Macaca fascicularis: one gene and its partners. The main gene of each other region encodes a partner of the protein of the gene in region 3 in a complex. Links are inferred from orthologs where the notes say so. Each region holds a gene or a part of one and is shown on either strand. Other genes may lie near its edges.

The links.
Region 1: SMARCB1 (region 3) and PHF10 share a complex: the UniProt entries of both Homo sapiens proteins name them as parts of the neural progenitors-specific chromatin remodeling complex. The link is inferred for Macaca fascicularis from reciprocal best matches to the Homo sapiens genes SMARCB1 and PHF10.
Region 2: SMARCB1 (region 3) and PBRM1 share a complex: the UniProt entries of both Homo sapiens proteins name them as parts of the SWI/SNF-B (PBAF) chromatin remodeling complex. The link is inferred for Macaca fascicularis from reciprocal best matches to the Homo sapiens genes SMARCB1 and PBRM1.
Region 4: SMARCB1 (region 3) and SMARCD3 share a complex: the UniProt entries of both Homo sapiens proteins name them as parts of the BAF complex. The link is inferred for Macaca fascicularis from reciprocal best matches to the Homo sapiens genes SMARCB1 and SMARCD3.
Region 5: SMARCB1 (region 3) and ACTB share a complex: the UniProt entries of both Homo sapiens proteins name them as parts of the BAF complex. The link is inferred for Macaca fascicularis from reciprocal best matches to the Homo sapiens genes SMARCB1 and ACTB.
Region 6: SMARCB1 (region 3) and DPF3 share a complex: the UniProt entries of both Homo sapiens proteins name them as parts of the BAF complex. The link is inferred for Macaca fascicularis from reciprocal best matches to the Homo sapiens genes SMARCB1 and DPF3.
Region 7: SMARCB1 (region 3) and SMARCD1 share a complex: the UniProt entries of both Homo sapiens proteins name them as parts of the BAF complex. The link is inferred for Macaca fascicularis from reciprocal best matches to the Homo sapiens genes SMARCB1 and SMARCD1.

Annotation. Positions count from the first base shown.
Region 1 is NC_088378.1:1,329,202-1,332,660, reverse strand, and holds the end of PHF10 (PHD finger protein 10), read right to left. Parts: intron 2,365-3,459; coding exon 2,256-2,364; intron 1,967-2,255; coding exon 1,778-1,966; intron 1,489-1,777; exon of another isoform or gene 695-1,488; coding exon 609-694; 3' UTR 501-608; downstream 1-500. UniProt on the Homo sapiens protein: Involved in transcription activity regulation by chromatin remodeling. Belongs to the neural progenitors-specific chromatin remodeling complex (npBAF complex) and is required for the proliferation of neural progenitors.
Region 2 is NC_088376.1:115,641,265-115,644,764, forward strand, and holds part of PBRM1 (protein polybromo-1), read right to left. Parts: intron 2,367-3,500; coding exon 2,194-2,366; 3' UTR 1-2,193. UniProt on the Homo sapiens protein: Involved in transcriptional activation and repression of select genes by chromatin remodeling (alteration of DNA-nucleosome topology). Required for the stability of the SWI/SNF chromatin remodeling complex SWI/SNF-B (PBAF).
Region 3 is NC_088384.1:28,085,284-28,088,783, reverse strand, and holds part of SMARCB1 (SWI/SNF-related matrix-associated actin-dependent regulator of chromatin subfamily B member 1), read right to left. Parts: intron 3,352-3,500; coding exon 3,214-3,351; intron 974-3,213; coding exon 846-973; intron 1-845.
Region 4 is NC_088377.1:192,524,447-192,527,946, reverse strand, and holds part of SMARCD3 (SWI/SNF-related matrix-associated actin-dependent regulator of chromatin subfamily D member 3), read left to right. Parts: intron 1-282; coding exon 283-494; intron 495-2,253; coding exon 2,254-2,296; intron 2,297-3,115; coding exon 3,116-3,238; intron 3,239-3,355; coding exon 3,356-3,478; coding exon of another isoform or gene 3,479-3,494; intron 3,495-3,500. UniProt on the Homo sapiens protein: Involved in transcriptional activation and repression of select genes by chromatin remodeling (alteration of DNA-nucleosome topology).
Region 5 is NC_088377.1:45,109,538-45,113,520, forward strand, and holds the start of ACTB (actin, cytoplasmic 1), read right to left. Parts: upstream 2,801-3,983; 5' UTR 2,723-2,800; intron 1,864-2,722; 5' UTR 1,858-1,863; coding exon 1,735-1,857; intron 1,601-1,734; coding exon 1,361-1,600; intron 917-1,360; coding exon 478-916; intron 384-477; coding exon 202-383; intron 86-201; coding exon 1-85. UniProt on the Homo sapiens protein: Actin is a highly conserved protein that polymerizes to produce filaments that form cross-linked networks in the cytoplasm of cells.
Region 6 is NC_088381.1:140,763,275-140,767,550, forward strand, and holds the start of DPF3 (zinc finger protein DPF3), read right to left. Parts: upstream 2,801-4,276; 5' UTR 2,788-2,800; coding exon 2,756-2,787; intron 2,750-2,755; exon of another isoform or gene 2,576-2,749; coding exon of another isoform or gene 2,167-2,575; intron 2,117-2,166; coding exon of another isoform or gene 2,043-2,116; exon of another isoform or gene 1,918-2,042; intron 1-1,917. Other genes in the region: uncharacterized protein, read right to left, coding at 2,043-2,116, 2,167-2,575. UniProt on the Homo sapiens protein: Belongs to the neuron-specific chromatin remodeling complex (nBAF complex).
Region 7 is NC_088385.1:56,915,038-56,919,019, reverse strand, and holds the start of SMARCD1 (SWI/SNF-related matrix-associated actin-dependent regulator of chromatin subfamily D member 1), read right to left. Parts: upstream 2,801-3,982; 5' UTR 2,773-2,800; coding exon 2,596-2,772; intron 1,976-2,595; coding exon 1,788-1,975; intron 1,502-1,787; coding exon 1,459-1,501; intron 1,366-1,458; coding exon 1,243-1,365; intron 759-1,242; coding exon 636-758; intron 1-635. UniProt on the Homo sapiens protein: Involved in transcriptional activation and repression of select genes by chromatin remodeling (alteration of DNA-nucleosome topology).

The DNA of each region.
Region 1 (3,459 bases), on a different chromosome or scaffold from region 3:
GGTGTACGTTTTCAAGAGTTACTAAAATCAAGTTGGAAATGATTTATGTACACTTCCCTGAGCCTGGACTAAAGCCTCGTGCCTGTACCCCAAGTAGGGATGGTACTTTTCTATACAAAAGTGATTTCCTGGCAGGCAGGTATTTACAAACTGTGTTCCTGTACCAGTCCAATAATGACAACTCTAAATCCAGCTGCACCAAATCTTATTAGGCCATTTGTCATACCTATGAAAATTCTTTAGTTATTAAATAACTTTGTTAATGCTACCTATGGTAGGCCAGAAACAATGTAGATTAGGAAGTTTCATGAAAATTAACTTTTGGGGCTATGGAGAAATAGTTAAGTATCTTAAGTTGCTAAACATTTCCACTGAATTTTTGGAGTGAGCCAGGGTTACTATAAAATACTTGGGAAGATGATTTCTCTACCTGGAATTAGTTTGGAGGGTAAGAGTAGCTTTTAACAGAAATAAATCAACTGCAGATTTTAAGCTCATAATTTGCAAAAAAAAAATCTTTTATTGGCATAAAAATGAAAATGTTGTAAATAAATTGGCACCAAATATTCCACTTAAATGCATACACAGTATTAGAGTCAAAAACTATTTTATCCCTCTTTGCTGTTTTTCCCCCTTCTGCCCACTTTCCTGGGTGTTGGGGGGGCCCGCTGACAACAGTCACAAATCCAGCGACCTAGGAAAAAAATTGTTAATATGGAATGAAAAATTATCTTTACAGGACTGAATTTTAAGCCCATCTAAACTCTTCTTCCTTAGCTATCACTAATGATATTCCTCTGTGGATTTTGTGGTGAGAAGGGCACTATGAGTTCCTGAATTTAAGGAGAAAAATATAAACTTGTAATCAATGCCATGCAAAATTCATTGCAAGTCAAGGGGGATGGGAGAGATGCAATGCCATACAGTGATACAGACCTTTAAAAAAGTACAGTATTTCCTGAAATTCAAACACTATCATACTTCTAAAGTTCAATACATACTTCAAAAGTTCAAAACCCATTCTGGAATTTGGCTTTTTTAAGCCTTTTTCTCTCCTGCTCACTGGCAGCTGTGTGTCTTAACAGCATTCTTTCAAGTGCTGGTGTACTCTGCTGACAGCACTTTAAAACTTTTAAGTTTCTAACAGCACAATGATAAATTGTACTACATACTTGATCTGAATTACTACAGAAAAATAATTATGTTGCTTGCTTAATGATTCCCAGGAAACTTCGTTGTAGGCATATATTTTATAAGAGTATTATACAGTGTTAACTATGCAAGTAAGTTCTAAAATTACACAATTATCTGTGTAATGTTTTAGTCCAATTACTGTGATTTATTCAACTCTGTTCTAAAGTTACCTGGAATTGTCATGCTGCCTCAATTTACAGAAATCTGTAATCGATTTCTATAGAAATGTATAAAGACGTAGTCATTTTGTTAAGTTTCTAAATAGATAACATAAAAATAAAGGCTTTGAAACAAGATGATGCTGTTACTTAAGTATTTCAGTAGAAAAACACCAGCTCATTATATAGAACTGTACTTCCAAAACTTAGTCTGGGCATTCTGGCCTCTCATTTATCCTTTAGTTGGAATTGTCTGGGAATGAAAAGCTGGTGGACATGACCCATATAATCATAGCTTTGGTCATATTTGCACATAGGAGTCCACAAGCTCTGCATGTCATGATAACGTTTATGCAGCCTTTTGGAGTGCAGTGCTGGGAGAGTCTTATCACCCAAAGATAGTTTGTTCTTTTTTTAATCTTTACCTGATGGAATAGCACCAAGGCCCACACAAAAAGTATGATAACCTCTGTCACACACATCACAGAACATCATTTCTTCTTCATGGTGGGGTTGTCCACATATAATGCATGTTTTACATTCCATACACTGCCATGGGTAGGTCTTAATCATAGAAACAAGCTCCACTGTCATATCCAGGCAAGAAGGATGGCCTAAATCAAAACCAGTATTAGTAGTATCTCACATAAGAATTTTTAACTTAATATGGCACATAAAATGCTAGTTTGCTTTAGGACTTTCAGAGAATAGCTATAATGTCAAATCACCAAAGAGAAATGAAAATACAATGTAGAAGAAAACACATGGACTGTGTCTGCCTCACAATCTACCCTGTGTATTTATTTGATGACTCTGGTTGAAATCTACCTGAAACTATAAATTCTAGTTTTTGAACCAACAAATACAGTGGTTAAAATTTTAAAAAGACATTTCAATACTTACCACTATTCTCACATTGGGAGCAGTGTATAAGTGATTCAGCCTTTCCTTTCTTGTTGGACTCCTTACCCTTCAGACAAATTCCACATATAGCATTTGGAATGACCTTTGGCTGGAAGGGTAGAAGAGGGCTATAAATTCATGCCAGAAGAGCTTACTATGGGTTTAAAAGGAATTCTGTTACTTTATTGCCCTATTCTTACTTTTGATAACTTGCTAATGACCATTTTGAAAGACAAAACTTGACAGGAATCTGCCTGCAATGTAAGATTGCTTACTGAAGAAAGCATTAATTTCATCATAAAATTTTGTAAACAGCATGATCTCATAAGATTAAATGTAGAATTCTATACTCCCTACATGCACAGTAAGATCTGTTTAATGAATGGAAGGAAAGACGAAATACAATGCCAAATATCACTATTAATTGGACAAGAAAATCCAAGTAGCAAATGACCATTAATGTGAGACTTACTCTAAAGAGAAGACCATTTTAAACAGCTTATGTATTAATTTTAAAAACTGCTCTTTTCCAAAACTGTAAAACTAGATCTATAAAATATAAGTTAAAAAATCAGTTTATCTTCATTGGTATAGTGGTACTTTTTTAAAAATCAGTTTAAACATTTTTAATTGAAAGATGTCTCATGCATACATTGGCATGTACATAAATGTTTGTTGAAAACTTAGTTGTGTGATTATTCTCTTTGCATGTCTAATAAAAGAAGCTATACTTAGAAGCATTTACTATAAAATAACGTAAAATTATAAAAGGGAAAAGTAAGTTTTCAGACAAGCAAAAAAAAACTGTAGTCACTTAAAAAATACACAGACCCTCTGAGTACTACTCATCTTTCAGATTAAAAACATGCATGGTCCAGTGAAAGTGTTTGAATTTTAGACATATTTGGTAACCCATGGAAATGACAAAGGAAAAAGGGTTCACTGCACTTAAAATTACCAGGGGAGGGAAGGCATCCGAACGTCACGGCCTTGACTGTTATGAAATGACGTTCACTCATGCTATAGGAATAAGTAAATAACAGTGGTAAAAAAGTAAAAGCAAGCATGGGCCAAGAATGAAATGGGGTAAGGGGACATACATACACACACACGTACACACACACACGCACACACACATAGATGAACTGGGAAAATAATTATTTTAATTAGAATTGTTTCATTTCTGCTTCATTCCCACCCTGCC
Region 2 (3,500 bases), on a different chromosome or scaffold from region 3:
CTCAAATCTTATATCCTAAATATTAATGGATATCTCCCAAGTTAATATACAGAAAAACATGATTCTAAAATAAATACATAGGCTTTTTTAAAAAAAAACTTAATTAGGGCCTGTCTAGTGGTGCCCTGGGCCAGTGCTGCACTGCTTTAGGGAAGCCCCTGGCTGGATCTATGTTTCCTATAGCACCTCTAGGCACTGGGAAGGAGCCTGGAGGAGAGCTCTGGCTTCTAATGATCCACTTGACCCCCAGTGAAGAGTTTTTTTTAGAGGCTCCCCAAAGAAGTCTCATCCAGACTTTAAGGGAAATAAAATGAATGCATGAAATAAATAAATAATTTAACCACAACTAAATTTCATGTTCTTTGGTGTAATTCAAGGATGTCTAGAAACAAAAGAATCTGATTGCATTATACAGTCCATGATGATTCAGTTGCCCAAATAACCAGGAATTGAAGATTTATCTGACTCACTTTAACAATAAGGTATTGACACACTACTGCAATACATTTTTTTTAAATTCAATATTATTTAAAATACTTGATGCAAATTGAATCCAGTGGTTGACTAAAGGCAATTAAGTTAAAGGGCCTCCTGTATTTAAAGTATCTAGATACAAGAGACTTTTTTCCATTCTACACTCTTTTGCCCTCATGATTTAATAAGTACAGTAATTAAACAACTGAGTACTGATTCATAGCAGATTAAAAGGAAAAAAGCATCCTCTGAGAGTGACTCTCTCAGCTTATAAACATCAGTGGAAGCTCTACCACAATGGCAATCACCCAGTTACTATAACGCAGGTTTCAAAAACATGCCGCCAAGTGAAATAATGTTCCTACTGTCTGCCATCCTATGCTGCCTTCAAATGTTTATTATAGGGTCATATAAGAAAGACAGGGTCACCAAACCCAAGTGTTTGGCATCTGTAATGGTCTTTCTAGTGAGCATTTTATTAAATTATGATTCCCTTCTCCTGTCATTCAAAAGCACAAGCTAAATTTAAAAAATATTTTAGAAAGTATTAAATTTCTGGTTGAGAACTACAACAACATTGAAACTTAAAAGAAAAAAATACATCTGATAATGAGGAAATCAAGAATACTAAAACATACTTGTAAAAAATAAAGTAGAAGGCAATCAATCTACTCGTTCACAATTATGCTTCTTACATAGCTCATATCTAGTTACACACTCTCTTCCCCATGTTAGGTTAGGTGTTATGTTTAAAAATAAATCACCTCCATGCATACCTTAATGCTTTCTTCAAGATGAACTTCAATGTTTTTCAATGTAACAGGTTTAAAATGTTAAATCATCTGAAATTTATAGGCATAAATTGTGAATTCATTATAAATAGATCAAAATACCCTTAAACGTACCTGCCTAGACTAAACATACCTCAGGGTTGTGCACTTGTTCTGCAAAAATTACTGACACCATAGTCTAATTCACAGATGTCTAACTCAGCACAATCGAAAAAGTGCTTTTTCCCCTCCTGGTGTCCAGGAGGTACATTAGCTGCAGACAGATGCACAGCACTGATTACATATTTCTGTAGTGAGCCTCTGAGTTAATAGAGCAAATGTGCCGTGTCTATTAAACATCTAAAACCTAAATAACCACCTTTCAAAGAAAGCACTTCATCTGTAAGAAACAGCTTTTGCAGAAAGTGGCTTAAGATATTCAGGCACATGAAACAAACACAAGTATACTCCCCTCTCTAAGATGTAAACTAGGACAAACTTCACATTTCATTATCAATTTAAACTAATCTGTAAACTCTTGTGTGTGTGTTTTTTTTTCATTTTGTTCTTTTATATATATAAAAAAAACCCCAAACCAAAAAAAACAAAAACCCCAAGCCAAGACAAAACCTCTAATGGTTTCAGTTCCATGGCAACAAGTAAAAAGATAAAACTCCAAGTCTACATATACAACCAATTATGAAACTGGTTTTAAACGAAGGAAACATATGCAAAAAAATCTTTGTGTATTTGATAAAGTCAACTTAATATAACAAACAAATTGAAATAGCTTATTAAAAGTGTCCTTATATAAAAATGGCCTTGTGATGTACAGTAAAATGCAATAAAAATTATCCTCCTTTGTTCCTTCCCCCCACCCCCAGTAACTAAAATGGCTACTGTTCCACAACTCTTTATGCTTCTATATAAAAGAAACGTAATGATGTGATTAAACATTTTCTAGGTTGTATGCTTGGCGAATGTTGAGGGTGTCCCGGAGCATCAAATCTCGAAGGCGCCAGAGGGCATCTGCCATGGTGGTGTGGGCCCCTTTGCTTTTCAGCCAGTGAGAGGGTAGGCGGCTCTCCTGTTCTTTTGACAAATGGACGTCGCGTCTTCGAGCTGAAAATTAAAGTACAGAGAGACAGAAATTGGAATTGGAAGTTGGCAAAATTTCCCTCAATTCTAAGATCTGACAGACTTATTAAAACACAAAATATTGAATATTTATCAAATATTATGAATTTTAACTGCAGAATATTTCCAGGCACATTTCTTGTATCATTTTACTAGGCACTAAAAAATTTGATCATACATTTATTTATTTATTTTTTTTGAGATAGGGTCTCACTCTGTTGCCTTGGCTGGAGTGCAGTGGTGTGATCTCAGCTCACTGCAACCTCTACCTCCTGGGTTCAAGCGATTCTTCTGCCTCAGGCTCTAGAGTAGCTGGGATTACAGGAATCTGCCACCATGCCTGGCTGATTTTTGTATTTTTAGTAGAGACAGGGTTTCACCATGTTGGCCAGGCTGGTCTCAAACTTCTGACCTCAGGTGATCCACGCACCTTGGCCTCCCAAAGTGCTGGGATTACAGGTGTGAGCCACCGTGCCCAGCCTGATCATTATTTTTTTGTAGGCATCCCTTATATTTAATAATTACTTCAATGTTAACGAAAATTCCTAAAAAGGTAAACGTGAAGAAAGGGAAAACATACCTTCTACTCAAAAGAAATGAAATGAAATGAAATGCCCAAAGTTGGTTTAGAAATCAAGAACAATAGAAACTTCCAAACTTCTCTCCAGAAACTACACAAGTACTTCAGTACATACTGAAAATACACAAGTATGCTGAACTAAATGAATAACCTAAAAGGTTTCTAATATTTTTTTTTTCCTTTTGCTAAACTGAGGTAAAATAGTTTTTTTTTCTTTTTTTTCTTTTTTTTTTCTTTTTTTTTTTTTTTTTAAGACAAGAGTCTTATTCTGTCCCTCAGGCTGGAGTGCAGTGGTGTGATCTTGGCTCACTGCAACCTCCACCTTCCGGGTTGGGTTCAAGTGATTCTTGTGCCTCAGCCTCCTAAGTAGCTGGGATTACAGGCGCCAGACACCACGCCCAGCTAATTTTTGCATTTTTAGTAGAGATGGGATTTCACCATGTTGGCCAGGCTGGTCTTGATCTCCTGACCTCAAGTGATCCACCCGCCTCAGCCTCCTAAAGTGCTGGGATTACAGGAGTGAGCCACCGCTCCTGGCC
Region 3 (3,500 bases):
GAGTGAGACTCTGTCTCTTAAAAAAAAACAAAATAAAATAGGTAAAATAAAATAAAGATGATATTCACTGCATTTTGTCTTAATATAAAGAGTATGTTCATTATAAAAATTCAGCAGGATACAGACACTAAGTTAAAAAACAAAAAACAAAAAAACCTGGTATTCAACAAGATCTAAAAAAACAGTAATAATAAAATAAAATAACAAAAATACATTCTAACAGACTTAGAAAAAAATAGCAAAATAAATGCATGCATGATCCTCCCTCCCAGATGGGATAAGCAGTCTAGACACTTGGGATGCATACCCTTCTAACCTTTCTGTCTACATCTGCACAAAGACTGAGTTCTGTTCAGGCTTTGGAAGCCCAGGAAGAGCCAGAAGAGATGGCACCTGACCCAGGACTTACAGAGTGAGGATATCTAAAGAGATGACCAGTTAGGGGAGGAGAGAGGCACAGGGCACACATGCAGCCTCACACAGCAGAAACAGGGTGGTGGACAGGACCCAAGGCAGGTGTGTGCAGGGCTCGGGGGCTGAACTAGGTCTAAGTGGCATTGTCATCATCATCCATGCTATGCACACCAGCCACCTCCCATGCCAGGCCCCTTGGGCCCCCCAACCTCAGTATGGGGAAAGGAGTCCAAAGTTCACATGCCCAACCCACAGTGAACAGCAACAGAACCAGGGCTGAACCCAGAGCCCACACCCTCCAAAACTATGCCCCGATGTCCCGCATGTCAGGTCCAGAATCTGCCTGACAGGCAGCTGGTAGGAAAGGGGACTGTTCCCACGTAACACACAGGGGCTGGGGCCAGGCCCAGCCAAGCCCGACTGCCTTGTACCATTCATGTTCCAGGTGAAGGCGTCTCGCAGTTTCTGCCCATCGATCTCCATGTCCAGCCGGATGGGGACCAGCACCTCAGGCTGAGATGCATTCTCGTGGATCACAGCTGGGTCGTGGTCATCAAAGCTGAAAGTGAAATGGAAGCAACAGTCAGTGAGGGTGCCAGGGCCCTAGGCATGCAAATTTTCAGCCTCCCTCTCTGCACAGCAGGCCTCTGCAAACCCATCTGGGGAACATGGTCACTTATCAGCTAACAGCTGAGGCAGCAGGGGTCCCAGGGCCATGGTCTAATGGGGACAGGTGGGTCCATAAATGACAAGCACCAGTCTGTCTGCAATAGGATCGACCCGGGCAGTGCTGGAACAAAACCCAGATGTCCTGTGAAGGGATATTTAAGCCTGAAATTTGGCAGGACTTTCACAGAAGGCTGTAGGCAAGCAGAATAGCATTTCTAGAAGAGGATATATTCCAGTAAGGCCAAAGCAGGTGAATGGAGGAACTGCTGAGGACGCACAAACAGACCACAGAGCACAGATTCCATGGGGGGCAGTGGTCAGGGATGCTGCAAAGCTAGCGGGTGTCGAAGCACCCACAGTTCTCCTCTCAGGCTACGCAAACTGGCCACTGCCCTGAGGGAGTCCCAGGAGGATTCCAAGCAATGGAGTTGAGTATTTTGGGAAGATAAAGAGGGAAGAGTTGGGCAGGCAGGTTGGTGAGATGGAGCTGGAGGACAGAGGACACCTAAGGGCGTCTGGGAGCATGGAGAGGGCTGAGAAGGGCCCCAGCGATCTTGGGAGGCAGATGGAAGAGAGAGAGAAACGAGCTGAGTGCCAGGCATGAATGCGCTGGGAAACAGACAGGGAAAGGGGTAGGGGTGCTGGAGGAAAGGGGTGGCCACTCTAAGGGAGAAGGGGACAGTCAACTAGGGATGGGAAGAGGAGATGGAGGGAAGGAAGAGAGAAGGAAAAGGAGGAGGGGGAAGGATGGGAAGGAGGGAAGGAGAAATGATGGAAGGAAAGAAAGAAGGAAGGAAAGAAAGAAGAAAGGAAAGAGGGGAGGAAGGAGAACGGGCTAAACCTTAGCAGAGGCAACTGCTGGGCAGAAGCTCTGGGAGGTCTGACAGCAGTGAGGGCGATCTCAGGTCTGAGGCAGAGTGAGTGGGGCAGAGTGTGGCAGTGGCAGCACCAGGCCAGGTTGGGCCTGGCACCCCAGTGAGAACTCCTCCTTCTGCTCCGAGGGTGATGGGGAGCCTGGAGGATTTTGCGTGGAGAGGTGACACGATATGCCTGGAGCAGAGGACACACCAGCTGCAGAGCTGAGAAGGCAACAGGGAGGGGAGGCAGGGGCTGCTAGAGACCCCAGGGAGAGCAGTGCGGGGCTGGCCAAGGCAGTCCTGGGTGGGACCTTGGAGAGACTGGACTTGCTGTGTGAGGAAAAGGCAGGCCTTGGGAAAGAAAGCTACAGCCTGAGCAAGGAGACGGCTGGATCTCCATGCGCCGAGATGGAGAAGTCTTCAGGCAGCATGAGGCTGAGGGGGTGAGGGCAGCTGAGGAAGTCTGGGCTGCAGAGGTAAAAAACAGACCCCGAAGACATCTACAGCCTAATCCCCAAAACCTATAACTGTCACCTCATATGGCCAAAAAAGGAGACTTTGCAGATGCGATTAAGTGAAAGATCCTGAGAGGTTAACCAGAAGGGCCCTAAATTACATCACCAAGTGTCCTTCTAAGAGACAGACAGGGAGATTTCACGCAGAGAAGGCCACATGACCACAGAGGCCGAGACTGAAGTGAGGCAGCCACAAGCCCAGGAATGTGGCAGCCCCCAAAGCCGGAAGCAGCAAGGACCGAATCGCCCCGAGGGCCTCTGGAGGGAGCACAGCCCTGTCTACACATGCATCTGGTCCAGTGAAACCAAATCTGGGCTCCTGGGCCCCCGAACTGTGAGGGAAGAACTGTGCACTGCTGGCAGCCACCAGTTTGTGGTGGTTTATTCCAGCAGCCTCTGGGAAGTGGTGGCGCAGTGGGAGTCACGTGGATGGCACGTGAACCGTCAGACTGGCTATGACCCACTCGTGTGAAACTGAGGGCAGAGAAAGGGCACATGGACCGTGCCCCGAGTAACTCCACTTGAGGGGCCAGAGAGGTGAGGAGGACACGGCAAGGTGACAGCAGACAGAGCCAAAGAGGCTACAGACAATGTCCTGGAGGTCAGGGAAACACAGTGGTTCAAAGAGGAGGAGGTACTGTAGCATTGTGGGGAGCACAAGGTCAAAGCAGTGTTTTTCTGGGGAGGAGGGGACTGAAATGTGCTGGAGAACTAAGGGAGAATCAGGGCAGAGGGTGAGCACAGCGACACATCCGCACCAAAGGGGGAAGGTTCTCTTCTTGTCCCGGCCCATGCGGTTCCTGTTGATGGTCGTGGAGCATGGCACGGCATCCAGGTGGTGGGAGCTGTTGGGCAGGGTGGGTACCCACTGGCTGTTCCTCTTGGCCTTCTGTTCCCTGGGGAGATACAAGAAAAGTCCCCCCAGTCAGTCTAGGAGCCTGATCCTGCCCACCAGGAATCAACTCATGCTCAGGGGATGCCCACTGTACCTCTGTCAGGCTCGAGGCTCCCGTGGGAGTTGTCTGTGCACCTGATTTTGCAGAAG
Region 4 (3,500 bases), on a different chromosome or scaffold from region 3:
TTTTTGCGGTACCTTCCGTAGCCCCGAGGCTCGCAATGCCCTGTGCGGTGCCTGGCTTCAGTTAGCTTCCTACAGCCAGACGCCAAGCCCCTCCGCCAGAGCCGCGCGTATTCCGGCGCCCCTGCCCCTCCTACCCATCGTTCCCACCCATCGCTCAGCGCTCAGGGTCACCAGCCGAGGGTCTGGTGGGGGAGGGGAGACGCCGGCTCACCGCGCCTGGAGCTGGGGGCCCTGGTCTGACCCACGGGCGCCCGTTTCTGCTTCACCCCCGCCCACCCACAGCGCCCCGGGATGCCGTCTGGAGCCCGGATGCCCCACCAGGGGGCGCCCATGGGCCCCCCGGGCTCCCCCTACATGGGCAGCCCCGCCGTGCGACCCGGCCTGGCCCCCGCGGGCATGGAGCCCGCCCGTAAGCGAGCAGCGCCCCCGCCCGGGCAGAGCCAGGCACAGAGCCAGGGCCAGCCGGTGCCCACCGCCCCCGCGCGGAGCCGCAGGTGAGTGGGAGGCCCGGCGCGGAGTGGGCGTGCAGGGGCGGGCCCTGGGGACCCGCAGGGACCAGGTGAGAGAGTAGCGGGGATTGGAAGAGGTGAGGAAGAATGATTAGCAGGGAGCGAGGCTTCCCGGATCGGATGCCCTCTGGGGAGGTGGGCTTAGGGGGCACCGGCCTGATTCTTTTGTGTGCCCACGGTAGAGACAGGCTGTGGCCGTCGGCAGCCGGTACCGCTTCCCTGCACGCTCCCCTCACCCTTCTCCTTGTCACCTGCTCAGTCCCTCTCTCCACCCATCAGGTTCTGGGTGATGCTTAAGTCTTTGGGTTGGGGGCGGGGCTTCCAGTGGGACTGAGGGCAGAGCTGTAGGACTGTGTTGCCCAAAGTGTAGTTCTCCGCTGAGCCTTCCTGCCAGACCCCGGACTGTTTCAAAGCCACTCCAGATTTTCTCAATGGGACTCTCTGGCCCTGGGGGTGGAGCTTGGGGATTTGCCCTGTGGTAGGTGGTCTCTGCCCAGTTCCGCTCTTAATTCTTAGGCACTCTGGACCAGGTCTGCTCCCAAGCCACCAGGGCCAGCCCATTGCCTTATTTTCCTCCAGCAGCTGGTGGCACCCTCAAAGCCCCTGCTGGCTCCTGGCAACAGCAGTGCCCCTCTGGATTTCAGTATTTAGCCAAATACACATGCTTTTTTTGCACAACAGATGGATTTCTATAAAAGGTGTAATATCAATTTTACCTCATTATTAAGTATTTTTTACACATCAGGGAAAATTCACCACTTATAGGAATCCCATGATGAATTATTTTGTAAAGTGCATCGTCATTTTGTACAGCAAACGGTAATTCCCTGATTTATCTTGTATAAATGGAGAGTTACACAAAGATAATCTGTCTAAAACAAACCAGACCTTTAATGAAATCTGCTTGTTAGCCTTAGATTTCTGCATAGGGAGGGGGTAGTGGTTGAGAACACCACACGGGGGCAGTATGGAGCTATTCTCTAGGCTGCGTTTTCATCTCTTGACCCGCCAAGGTTTTTCTGGGGGTTTTTGGGTTAGTCAGCAGCAGCTAGTGGGTCAGAAAGAGCTCACATCCAGCTGCTACTACCCTGGGCCTAGTCAATTTGGCCTCAGCCTGAAGTCACACCCATGCACATTCTGGGCGCCTATGGCTGCAGCATGTCCCTCACCTTGTTGCCAGGTAGTCCCAGGGCATGAGTACCCCTGCTCATCAGCATTCTCTTGCAAGCCCAGGGTGCCTGGAAGGGATGCAAGTCCCGCCAGCTTCACACCATCACCTCCGCTCCATGGATAGGAAGGAAGTCGTCTATCTCCCTCCCTCTGAGCTTAGAATCCTTTGGACAGGGCACCCCCTGCTTTCCAGAAAAGGTCCTCAGACCTGGCTTCCCTCTCCTTTGTCCTCCCTCATCCCCACCTTTCCTCAAACACTTCTGCAGCTCCCATCTTTTGGCAGCACCACCCCCACTCGCCAGTCCCTCCTAAGTCTAAATTTCTCTGTCCCTAAGGATGTGGCAGGTTAGAAGGGGGCTCCCAGGCCAGAGAATGGACGGGTCACCCCTGTGTCCTTAGAGAGGACAGAGCACCAGTTCCACACACCACCGTCATAGCCCTTGGGCGGGCAGACAAGCGGGCTGTGGGAACCCCAGCCAGGCGGGCGGAGATGTCGGGATAATTTAGCAGGTGGCCTCGTTACTCCCAGATCTGTCGCCATGGTAACCTGGTTTTTTCTTTAAAAAATGTACAGTGCCAAGAGGAGGAAGATGGCTGACAAAATCCTCCCTCAAAGGGTGAGTGTCTTTCACAGCAGCCCCCAGCCCACCCCCTACCCTTTGCTGCTCTGCCCTCCCCTCCCCCCTCAAAAGCAGAGCTTCAGTGTCACAGTCACTTTCACTTTTTGTTTAAAAAAACTCATTAATAAGTGAGGCTCCCTAGGCCAGAGGGAGGGGGTGAGGTGGAGGGAAGCAGCAGAGCCACTGGGGCCAGAACACAGGGGCCTGTCAGGGGGCTGGATCCAAGTGGTACTAAGACAGAGTTGTGGGACAAGAAGGGGGCAAGAGCTAGGGGATCAAAAGCTGCCAGGCAGAATGAAGGGGATAGAAGGTGGCCAGAGATCCTGAGCATCCTAAAGGGACCCAGGTCCAGCTGGATATGGGGGACAGCACAGTTGGGACAGGTGTGGGGGCTGAGCAATGTGCCAGCAAAGAAGAAAGCACTGCTGTCCAACTGTCCCAGGGATTGAGCCCCTACTAGGCACTTTGCAGGGGCCCAGGGGAAGCCCAGTGGGCATATGACATAGAAAATGACAGGATGAGGAGACTAAAGGCTAGTGCTTTGCTGGGTTCCACAGTTGCTACCTCCTCCCCGTGATGATACACAAGGCTCTTCCTAAAGGGAGAAGCAATTGTTATCCCTACACAGCAAGGCCCCTACTGCTGGATAATGGCATCCTGGGGAGAGGTCCTGTTCCCACTGTCAAAGCTCCATGCCCAGAAGTAGGATGGCTCCCCCGACATCTTTTGCACCCTAGGATTGCACAACATGCATACATTCCATGGTACAACCCTGGACTCGAGCCTCTGACTCCTGCCCTGCTCCTCCTCCTCCAGATTCGGGAGCTGGTCCCCGAGTCCCAGGCTTACATGGACCTCTTGGCATTTGAGAGGAAACTGGATCAAACCATCATGCGGAAGCGGGTGGACATCCAGGAGGCTCTGAAGAGGCCCATGAAGGTGCCTTAGTTCGGGGGTAGGAAGGGGACTCTTGAGTCGCGTGACCAGGATGGGGAAGCAAGGTAGTCAGGGTGGAAGCACACAGCATTTGCCCGGTTCTACACTCTATTTCTACAGCAAAAGCGGAAGCTGCGTCTCTATATCTCCAACACTTTTAACCCTGCGAAGCCTGACGCTGAGGACTCCGATGGCAGCATTGCCTCCTGGGAGCTACGGGTGGAGGGGAAGCTCCTGGATGATGTACGTCCCGGCCCAGGTCTCT
Region 5 (3,983 bases), on a different chromosome or scaffold from region 3:
TCCACATCTGCTGGAAGGTGGACAGCGAGGCCAGGATGGAGCCGCCGATCCACACAGAGTACTTGCGCTCAGGAGGAGCAATGATCTGAGGAAGGAAGGGAACAAACAGGCAGTGAGAACCCCGGATGTGACAGCTCCCCACACACCACAGGGCCCCACGGCCCACCTGCCCAGGTCAGCTCAGGGTGGAAGGACACCCACCTTGATCTTCATCGTGCTGGGCGCCAGGGCAGTAATCTCCTTCTGCATCCTGTCAGCAATGCCAGGGTACATGGTGGTGCCACCAGACAGCACTGTGTTGGCGTACAGGTCTTTACGGATGTCCACGTCACACTTCATGATGGAGTTGAAGGTAGTTTCGTGGATGCCACAGGACTCCATGCCTGAGGAAGAAATGAGGGCGGACTTAGCTTCCAAAGCACAGCCCCAAGGGTGACCCTCAGGTCAGGCAGGGCCGGGAGGCGGGTCTCCACTCACCCAGGAAGGAAGGTTGGAAGAGAGCCTCAGGGCAGCGGAACCGCTCGTTGCCAATGGTGATGACCTGGCCATCGGGCAGCTCGTAGCTCTTCTCCAGGGAGGAGCTGGAAGCCGCTGTGGCCATCTCCTGCTCGAAGTCTAGGGCGACATAGCACAGCTTCTCCTTAATGTCACGCACGATTTCCCGCTCGGCCGTGGTGGTGAAGCTGTAGCCGCGCTCAGTGAGGATCTTCATGAGGTAGTCAGTCAGGTCCCGGCCAGCCAGGTCCAGACGCAGGATGGCATGGGGGAGGGCATACCCCTCGTAGATGGGCACAGTGTGGGTGACCCCGTCACCGGAGTCCATCACGATGCCAGTGGTACGGCCAGAGGCGTACAGGGACAGCACAGCCTGGATGGCCACGTACATGGCTGGGGTGTTGAAGGTCTCAAACATGATCTGTAAGGAAGAAATGCACCATGTCATACTCAGGAAGCTACTGGGACAGCCAGGCCAGATGGGGGACATGCAGGAAGTGCAAAGAACACTGCTAAGTGTGCTGGGGTCTTGGGATGGGGATTCTGTTCAGACCTACTGTGCACCTACTGAATACACACTCCAAGGCCGCTTTACACCAGCCTCATGGGCTTGTCACACGAGCCAGTGTTAGTACCTACACCCACAGCACTGTCTGTTTTAGACACCTAGTCAGAGAGGCAAACACCAGAAAAAGAGCTCATCTGGGAAAAAGCAAATAGAACCTGCAGAGTTCCAAAGGAGACTCAGGTCAGAGAAGAGAGTCCTACGGAGAACGGCAGAAGAGAGAACCAGTGAGAAAGGGCGCAGCTCCGGGAGACCAGGAAAGAGGGCGGTGGCCACCACAAGAGGTAGCGGGCCACTTACCTGGGTCATCTTCTCGCGGTTGGCCTTGGGGTTCAGGGGGGCCTCGGTCAGCAGCACGGGGTGCTCCTCAGGAGCCACACGCAGCTCATTGTAGAAGGTGTGGTGCCAGATCTTCTCCATGTCGTCCCAGTTGGTGACGATGCCGTGCTCGATGGGGTACTTCAGGGTGAGAATGCCTCTCTTGCTCTGGGCCTCGTCGCCCACATATGAATCCTTCTGACCCATGCCCACCATCACGCCCTAGGAAAGAAAAAACAAGGCGCCCTAAGCACGGGCGCGGCCCCCACCCCAGAAACCGGGAGACCCCAGTGCAGAGAAAGCGCCCTCGCCTCCCGCCCGCTCCCGGGGCCGCCCCACCCACCCAGCTCCCCTACCTGGTGCCTGGGGCGCCCCACGATGGAGGGGAAGACGGCCCGGGGGGCATCGTCGCCCGCGAAGCCGGCCTTGCACATGCCGGAGCCATTGTCGACAACGAGCGCGGCGATATCATCATCCATGGCGAGCTGCGGGAAAGCCGGGCGCGCTGTGAGCCGAGGTGGCCCCCGCCCTGCCCACTTCCGGCGCGCCGAGGCCTTAGGCCGCCAGGGGGCGCAGGCGCGCGCCCAGATTGGGGACAAAGGAAGCCGGGCCGGCCGCGTTATTACCATAAAAGGCAAACACTGGTCGGAGGCGTCCCCACCGCGCGCGGCAGGAAGCCAGGCCCCCACCCCCTCCCAACCGGGAGCCGGCCCCGCCTCCGCTCCGTTCAAATAGCGCCGGGTCGGCGCGCGCGCGCGCGCGGCGGCCACACCCTCAGGCGGCCGGCGGCGCGGGCAGGAAGTGCGCGCAAGCGCCCTGGAGCCTCCGCGACCCCACCCCTTCCGGCGGGGCCAGCCCTTGCCCCAGCCCAGGCCGCGGCACCCGGGCCCCAGAACGCACGCGCAGTTAGCGCCTTGAGTCCCAGCGCGCACGCGCAACTAGCGCCGATTCCCAGCGCGCACGCAGAGTTAGCGCCCCAAGCCCCAGGACGCACGCGCAATGGCGCCCCAGCCCCCCACCGAGCCTGGCGGGGGGGCTCCGCCGCGCCCACCCTGCAGTTCCCACTGGCAAGAAGCCGGCTCGGACAAAGACCCCGCCGGCTGCCCCCATCCCGAGAGCAGCACCCCCAGAGCGCGCCTCCCGAGCAGGGCCCGCGCCTCCAAACTGGAGCGGGGTGTCCCCACATCTCTGGAGGCCCAGGGGCTTCTCCCGCGTCCCCCACTGCAGTCCAGTCCCCACATGCGACCCCCGCTGCGGCGCAGGCGGCTCTACACAGGCGAAGGGGCCGCGGCCTTAGGCAGCCGAGCCGGGAGCCGCCTACCAGGGTCGGCTGGCCGGGCTTACCTGGCGGCGGGTGTGAACGGGCGGCGGAGCGGCAAAGGCGAGGCTCTGTGCTCGCGGGGCGGACGCGGTCTCGGCGGTGGAGGCGCGTCGCGCCGCCGGGTTTTATAGGGCGCCGCCGCGGCCGCTCGAGCCATAAAAGGCAACTTTCGGAACGGCGCGCGCTGATTGGCCCCGCGCCGCTCACTCACCGGCCTCGCCGCACAGTGCAGCATTTTTTTACCCCCTCTCCCCTCCTTTTGCGAAAAAAAAAAAAGAGCGAGAGCGAGATTGAGGAAGAGGAGGAGGGAGAGTTTTGGCGTTGGCCGCCTTGGGGTGCTGGGCCCGGGGGTTGGGGGCGCGCGCGGTGGCCCCCGCACCCCACGCTGGGCAGTGCCCGGTTCGGCCCCGCATGGCCAGGCCTGTCCCCGGCCTGCCCGTCTCTCGGGCCCCCCACCCACCGCGGGACATTCTAGGTGTGGACGTCTCTTGGGCACTGAGCGCCCAGGTGGGGTGGGCCAGGGTCTGCACGGGTGCCAGGGTCCTGGGTGCTGTGCGCTCCTGCAGAAGGAGCCCTTGAAGGGCATGGAGTGGCCAGGCAGTCACTCCCCCTTGCCGACTTCAGAGCAACTGCCCTGAAAGCAGGTCTCGGGACCTCTGGCTATTATGGGGCTCAGCTAGCTAAATGGGCTGGGTGGGTCACTAGGGAGAGACTTGGGCTTGAGAGGTAGAGTGTGGTGTTGGGGGAGTCAGGGGGCTCGCGGCCACTTAGAAGTCGCAGGACCACACTGCCCAGGACAGGGCAGGCGCCAGCGGTCCAGTGGCTTGAGGTGGCCTGTGATGAAAGCTGCAAACCCACCCAGCCACGGCCCTGGGAAGGTGGGCTCTACGGGGCAGGGAAAGTTTCCCCAGGAGCTGCTGCTTCTGAGGGTAACGCGGTCACGCCCAGCCAAGACCAGGCCTGGGGCGTTAGTGGGTGACCCAGGCAGCTCCAGGCACTGCGGGGTGTGGGGGCTGGGTCTACACAGCCTGGGTCTGCGCCCACCGTTCATTGCATGTCTGCTATGCGCAGCCACAGCTGAACTGCCCTCCCAGACCATCTGGAGGCCGCGGGGGGACTCTGGGGACCAAGACACCATGTGCCAGAGAGGATTGGGGGCGGGGTGGGGTAGGAGCTCAAAGCCAGCCTGGGAAGACCCTCTCCTTGTCACCCTTTCTTGCCTCGGGTCTGTCCACTCAGTAGCACACAAGACCCGGGTGGCTAGGGTCGTTCTGCTCTGGGAAT
Region 6 (4,276 bases), on a different chromosome or scaffold from region 3:
TTTGTGTGACCATTTTCTGTAGGGGGCGTCCGTGGTGTTGGCTTTTTTTTTTTTTTTTTTTTTTTTTTTTTTTTTTTTGGAGGGAAGAGAGAGACTCAGAACGCACACAGAGAAAATGCTAATGTCATTCAGCTCTGTTTCATTGTCAGGAGGGACACATGAGGATAAAAACATAGCTCTCCAAACCATTCTCTCCGCTACCCCTCCTCCCTGCACCACCACCATCCCTTCGGCTGGATGTGTCTCTGCACTTTGTTCTAATTTATCCCATGCATAATTTATTCACGTTTGTATTGTTTCCTGATCAGCAACTTTTAAAAACAAATGAAATATATAAGATGTTTTATTAAACAAGTTGTTTAAAAAAAAAAAAAAAGGCAGATGGTGTCCGTCTCCCAATAACAACGTGTGTGCTCCTGCATTAGGAGTTAAAAACTGTCCAGGGTGTGAGAGGCTGGGCTGGTCAGGGGTATTGTTTACACCCCTTTACCCCCAGGGAAAGGGTCTGGGAAGCAGAAAGGAATGGCTAATTATAAATGACCACTCAACTCCCACCTAGAAAAAGCAAGCAGGGGCGTTGTGTGTATGCTAGTGTGTGCATGCGTGTGGCGGCACAATTACAAATACATCACATTGCAACTGTTTCTAATTATACAAAGTACAATTCAGAACTAATTCCCCTAACCAGCCGGGATTCCGCCACCTTCTTTCCCCCCCGTCTGTCCCTTCCCCCACCCTTAACCCCACCCTACACAGACTCCCTCCCCAAACGCGCACCCTACTGTGATCCAAAAAAACCCTGGAGCGAGCAGGGGAACACTGAAGCTTAGAGATACTGCGCCCGCCCGCGCGAAAGCGGGCTCCCGGGTAACTAGGGTACGGCTTTCCCAGTAGGAAACAAACCTGGTGCACATGTGAAATAGATTCTCTAACTTGAGTTTACCAGGTGGCATCAGCCTGGTTATGTGATTTCGGCTGGATATGGGGAAACTGCAAATCAGTTGTGGGTTCGGTAGAGACAGCATCAGCGGTGTTGCAGCGAAAGCAACCGGCAGCGAGGATGCGGCGAAGTTACGCCCATTTATTCTGCCATAAAACATTTTCTTTCTTGGATGAAACGCTGTGGCGTTCAAGTGCAGTGTATCCGAGCTTCCGAGGCAGAACTGAAGCCGGGAGCTCCTATCTGCTCAGCCTCAGCTTCCAACGTCCTCTTAACGGCAGCTTTCATATAAATATCTTTGAAACCTGGGGCATTCCTACCCGTTTCCCTATTTCTGGTGGGCGACGAGCTGGTGCAAACACGTCTGATTCTCCCTGTGCATTCCTTTGCGTTAGGAACCCCCCTACCGTCTCCGGGAGCGAACCTGGTTTTCAACTCCAGGAGTGGCGAGGGGTGAAGACGAGAATGCGCTGAATTAAAAGAAGCAGGGTCGACAGTGGCCACGCACCAGGGAGAATTCGGCACGAACCGCCCCCTACCCGGCCCGCACCTCCCTCTCCCCCTCTTTGCCTGCGGCTTCGTCCGGGCGGGGAAGTCCCGGTCGAAGGGGTGCGGACCCCCAGCCCACCTCGAATACGGAGGGAGCCACCCTCTGCCGACATCACCCAATAGCACCCCTTTCAGAGCGACACTAGTTTTCCGAGGCCACCCTTGGCTCCGCGATCGCGAGCGGACTTGGCGGCTTAACAGTTCCACCGACTGGAAGGAAGGAAGGAAGGAAGCCAGGATGAAAAGGAGGAGGAAGGCAGGCAGGCAGGCAGAAATTGGCTGTTGGACCCGGGGCTGGCCCCCGCGAGTGCTCGTCCGGCCCGCCCCACTCTGTCCAGGATCTGGACAAGCGCTCAAAGTCTCCCCGGGGCGGCCAGAGGCACCTGCCCCTCGCCCGGCCGGGAGCAGACGCTGCCCCCTCGGGCCAGGAGCCCCAAAACCGCCTCTCCGCCTGCCTCGGCGCCTCACCCAGAGGTGGCGAGAACACCATTCATAAGACCTGCGGCTTCCCTGCCTCCAAATCCACCCCAAGTTAACCCGAGTCGTTAATCCACTACAGCCAGGTTGCTCGCAAACACACGAGCAGACACACGCGCGGTCGCCCGGAGCGCCTCCGAGATCCGGGGGCTGCCGGGGAAAGCCCGGGGCGACCACCTGGGACCCAGCGCGCCCGGGACCCGCTGCTTCCCCCGCGGTGCTCCCAACTCCGGAAGGTTTGCACAAACTCCCCGCGAGCGATCGGAAGGCGAAGAGCGCCCTGCAAACTCCGGAGCCTCCGCGGTGCGTCCGCCGGACCCAGCAGACCCAGCGGCGGGGCGGGGGCCGCGGGCTTGGGGGTGCAGGGCTCGGCCAAGTGCACCGAGGCAGTCCCGGCCCGACGCTCGCCCCCCGCCCGGCCGCCCCCGGAGCCTCGCTCCCTGCCCGCGAGGCGGGGGACTCCAGGGACCGCGCTGTCCCCGAGCTCCCGCGACCCCCCTGCTGTAGAGCGCTCGAGCGCCGGGCTCCTCCGCCGGCAACCCCTATCTCTCGCTCTCTCTGCAATTTAGCAGAACACAAATGTAACAATTTTCTTCTTGTTAATTGCATCTCCTGACATTTCTGCGCGTTGGGGGAAAAAAAAGAAGTAAGAGCTGAAAGAAGAGAGAAGCCCCGCCGCGGCTGGAGGCGCCTGCAAGCGCAAGCACTGGCAGCGCTCGCCACGCAGAAGGCGCCTTTTTTTTCATATTGAAACCACGCGGAATATGTACATTTTTTAGTCTTACTTACGCTTTCAGGGGGTTGTGAATGACAGTCGCCATTTTGCTACAATGTAACAGAATATTGTCTGTCTCAGAGTTCTAAAGGTTCGCTCAGGGGAAGCGACAGGCCAATCAGAGCGCGGGATACCGGCCCGCCGGCCAATCGGCGCGGCTGGTCGCCAGGTGGGCGGGGCCTGCTCGGTGGTAGTTATTAGGGGAGCTGTCAAAGCCCAGAGGTCACTCCCTTTTGTAGAGCCCGAGAGCCAGCAGGTCTTAAAGGGGAAGTACCGCGTTGGCAGCTCCTTTTCGGGCTGGGGAAAGTGGAGACGCACGGGAGAATATTATAGTTTGGTTCAACTCCCTACTTTTCTAAATAACTGCAGAGTTTGCGCTCCTGGACAGAAATATTTCAATATTGCCAGCAAGCCACTGAATCCTATTCATTAGCTTTTGGCTTTGCATATCAACATTTTTAATCCCCCAAAGGGTAAATCCCCGTGTTTCAGTACAAAAGTTGGAAGGCTGCCGCTTCGTGTAACAAATTACTTCGTGTGCTTTGCCGTTTGCTAATGCTCTGGGTCCTGCTGCTTTTTAATATTCTTATTCCCGAAGTGTTCTCTTTATCTCCGCCACCTTCCTCTCTCGCTTCTTGGAACTGCCGCTGCTGTTCCTGGCGACTCCAGGACAGCAACTCACCCTCCCCCTGGAATGCCTCAATGTCAGGCTCACTCCCTCCTGCAGCCAGGGCTTTCTTTACGTAGTGCAGGGGGGTTACTCTGCGCGGTCCGCCGCTACCACCCCTTCTGTTCTGCTCCCTACACCAGAAACTTCCAAAATGCTCAGATTCCTGCTCGGTGGTGCGACCTGGAGCTCTGACCTTTAGGCTTAGAGGTAGGGAGGACTTGAGGCAACCTTTGGAAACTTTCTACTACTAGGAAGCAAGTGCCTAGGCAGAAGTCGTAGAGCCTGGACTGGGTGTTGTCAGAGTCCCTTTAGAGGAGTGGCACACGCGATTCTGACGTCACCTTTCACTACTTAGAAGGTGGAAAGAATTTGCTAGTGAATAATCCGATGTGACCCGAGGCGTCCAAAGAGTCTGTGTCTGCTTCAAGTCAGTGTGAACTCTTCACTGGCGAGCCCCTGACAAAATTGGGAGACTTCTGCGAAGTCAGGCTTCCACTGGGCACCGGGAAGCTCTGCGTGGATGAAACCGCATTAAATCGAGAATAGGGTAGGGGCCTCGTTAGCATACAGAAGTCTGGCTACCATTCCAAAGCTGTTTAATCAGGTCAAATAGCTAAGATAGTGGGGGAGGGGTGGCAAGGGGAGAGAAGTTGCCAAATTGCCAGTTCAAAGCTATGCCCTCTCGCTTCCTTTTGCTCCTCTCAAGACAATGAATAAAATAAAATAAACATTCCAGAATTTCAAGAGTTCAACTACATACGCTATTAGATTTACAGATAAACAGAAAGTGACTGAATAACTGTTTGTAATAGATTTGAAATCTTTAACTCCTCTCTGCCTATTTAATAAGCAGAATCAAGTTCTA
Region 7 (3,982 bases), on a different chromosome or scaffold from region 3:
TATATAGAGAAGGAGGCTCTGACACTGAGCCCTGGTTCTCCTGCAAAAGTGCATTCCAATTAGCTTCCTGCGAGCAGCTAAAAATAGAGCAAGAGAATGTAAGGGAATGAGAGAAAGGTGAGCTTCCCCGAGGAGCTTCTGGGTTGGGAAGTTTGGGGGCTATCACCTGTCAGCTGATGCTCCCCAGGAAGCAACAAAGAGCCTGTCAAGAGAAATCTATCCTACTTAAACTATGGGGTGCCTCCAATGAAAGTTGAGAAGATGGAGATACCACAAGAACTCAGAGAGGAAACACGGCCTCAAATGAAGTGCAAACTCGACTAAAAACAAAACAAAACAAAAACTAAATAATCTACAGATACGGCTAAATCCAATGGCCAGCAGCACCAAGAGGAAGGTAAATCACAAATCAGATCCCAGGACAATAAGGTTCTCCACATGATACCAGTGAAGGCCAAAGGTGTGGGGGCAAACACAAAGGACCATTGTCTTTCAGTGCAGGGAACAGTGTCCCTCTCCCTACTGCTCCCAAAAGGAGCTGTGAGCACCAGTTAGGCTTCCTGCTGACCAGACAACACTGTTCATTCCCAGCAGCTCCCACCCTAGATGCCAACCACTGTGGACCTTGAACTCACATCCTCCAGGAGCCGTCCTTCTACCCGAAGCTCCCAGGAAGCCACCGTCCCTTCCCCATCCTCGGCATCTGACTTAGCCGGATTGAAAGTGTTAGAAATGAAAATTCGCAGCTTCCGTTTTTGCTGAGGAAGGCAGAAACAGGATTGATCGTGGGGCTTCAGTGGTCTAATGTTGAAGACAAGAGTCTCCCCAAACCCCAAAATTATTCCTAACAGACTGGCTTACTGTCTACCCAGTCCCTTGGGTGGGTGGATGAAGATTCCATTTAGAAGAGGAGTACTGGCCATCAGCCTAAGTACAAGTGCATACAGTGGGATGCCAGGTGGACAAAGTCACGCAAGGTGCCAGGTTCCCAAGGTAGCAGAGCAGTTACAGCAAAAACATGGACAAGGGTATATTTGTAGTGCAAGAGACATCAAGAGCCCCTCCCCCTTTGCCATTCTGTTCTTATCCTCCTAATGTAATTCTCAGTTTGTAGGCGGAAGGGAAAGATACAATTTAAATGCCAAGGAGAGTTGTGCTGTGCCTTTGATTTCTCATCCTAAGCCTGCTGAAGGTTCCTGGGTCCTCTCCTTTGGCTCTCTGCTTAGTAACTTCCTGTGTTACCTTGATGGGACGTTTCAAGGCCTCTTGGATATCTAGTCGTTTCCTCATGATAGTCTGGTCCAGTTTCCTTTCAAAAGCCAAGAGATCCATATAGGCCTGGGATTCTGGTACCAGTTCACGAATCTTAGGAACAGAAAAATTAATTGAAATCTAGGATGATTCATCTCTATACTCAAACCTACCACACTTTCCAGAAAACAGATAGCCTGGACTCACCCTTTGAGGTAGAATTTTGTCAGCCATCTTCTTTTTCTTTGCACTGTTGGGAATAAACACTATTATCAGGTTGGGACAGAACTAGTCAGAACGTGAAAATAAGCTGTCAGCATGTCCATTTATAGTAATGTGAAGGGATTGCAAAGCTGCTCTCAAAGAACTACCACCACCACCACCACCACCACCACCACCACCACCACCAAGCATTCTCAATCATCCTGTAGCACCATCTGCTGACACAGCACCACCACTTCTTGGTTCAGGTAATCCCACCACCTGTGTACTCCCAGGCTCCCTCCCTCCCTCCCTCTGCCCCAGGATCATCTTACTTGTGGTTTCGATTTTGGACAGCCTGCTGCTGGACCTGCTGGATCTGCTGAGGGGCAGGTCTCTTGCGGGACTGATCCATCCCTGACTGGGCCAGGCCAGGTCGGACTGAAGGGTTCCCCCCATAGCCAGGGGGTCCCATGGAAGGTCCCTGAGGTGTCATTCGGCTGCCTGGCAACATACCTGGTCTCTACAGAGGGGAGAGGACCCAGAGATGTCATGGTTTCACCTGCTAAACCCCACCAAGAAAGAAAAGCAGGGAACGCCTGAGTTCTTTGAATGAAGTAAGGTTTACGGATGGAATGGAGGACAATGAGACGAGAACCCTCTGCTCCAGCAGTGACTCCACAGAAAAATAAGAGTCCAAAAGCTAAGCGAGAGCCAGATTATACTCAAATTATCGGTCTATTTTGGATCGGACACATCGGACATCGCCAGTTCCACATTTACTCTGCTAGCTACTATCTCTTTAGAAGCTGACCTCAATTTGTCAGCTACACGTTCTGTGTTCCTTTGATCAATGGAGCTGCTCAAGCCCCTCTGCACTCCGGCCCTCGTATAGGTATCCCTGGACCCACTTCACCCACCCTGGTTCTCTACCGACTCCCCACGGAAACAATGCCCCTAGGAGCTGGTGTGGACACCAACTGCCTCCCCCTCTCTTCCTGCGCACTGCCTCCCCCAGCCCCCACCCAGAGCCCGAACCCCTCCCAAGGGAGTCCCTCCTACTTCTCCCCCCACCCCTGTCACTCCCACGTCCCCGCTCGGCCCCGCCCCCGGCCCGCGCGTCCCTCCTCCTGCCCCACTCACCGGATAGGCCGCTCCGGGCATCGGGGAGCGGTACAGCCCTTGACCCGGAGCCGGGCCCATTCGCACGGGAGGCCCCGGAGTTCCGCCCGGGCCCAGGGCAGCAGCCGCGCCCGCCCCTCCCGAGGCTCCGGCGCCGCCGCTCGGAGCCACAGACTGGAAACCCGCCCGGGCCGCCATCTTCCCGGAGCCGCCGATGCAGCTGCACAAAGAACCGGAACCGGAACTCCCCCCGCCCCCTGAGCGCCCCCCGAGCGCCCGCCTGTTCCCCCGGCCGGCTGGCCGGCACGGGAGGCTCAGGGCAGCGAGACTGTCGCCTAGAGAGGAGCGAGTAGCGGAAAAGGCGTGCTGGCCACGCCCTCCCGCCTTCACGGTCCTGGAGGGAAAACCATAGAGAAGAACTCTGGGATAGAGAGGCCCCGTGAGTGGGCGCCCCCAGGCCGACGGGAGGTAGACAAGGACCTGGAAAGGGGGACGGACCACAGCCTCAGCCCCAGTCTCAACCCCGACTCCAGCCCGCTGATGATGAGGTGCTTGGAGTAATAGCTTCATCTTGGCGCATGGCATTAACTTCCCAAAACGCTTTGATTGCTTTTCGTTTCATTTTCTTACTGCTATAACTATCAGGGGCTGAGGAGGGAAACACAGTTTATTCCATTTTCCAAATAGGAAAGCTGAACTCACAGGTGAACGACTTGGCAAAGGTCAACCAGCAAGTTAGTCATAAAGCCGAAGCCAAGATTCCAGGTCTTCTTGCTCATAGCCCAGGACTCATTCCACAGATAAAGTGCCTCAATAACTACCTCACGTGGGAACTTCAACCTAACTTTGTCTCCGACCTAACCTGCTTCCGGATTATTATTATTATTATTTTTTCGACATGAGGTCTGTCTTTGTCACAGTGGCACCATCTCAGCTCACTGCAACCTCCGCCTCCCAAGCTCAAGTGATCCTCCCACCTCAGCCTCCCGAGTAGCTGGGATCACAGGCATGCACCACCATGCCAGGCTGTTTTGTATTTTTGGTAGAGACAGGGTTTCACCATGTTGCCCATGTTGGTTTCAAACTCCTAAGCTCAAGTGGTCTGCGCGCCTCAGCCTCCCAAAATGCTGGGATTACAGGTGTGAGCCATTGTGCCTGGCCTCAGATTTTTTTTTAATATTAAAAAATAGGGATGGGGGTTTCATTATGTTGCGTAGGCTGGTCTCGAACTCCTGGCCTCAAGTGATCCGCCCGTCTCAGCCTCCCAAAGTGTTGGGATTACAGGCGTGAGCCACCGTGCCAGCCTGCTTCCAGATTTTATAATAAGTTCCAGTTTATCTTGAATTTTGACTCTGCTCTCTCTCTAAAGCATTGTTCGTGATGGGGATTCTGTTTTGGACCTTTGTTG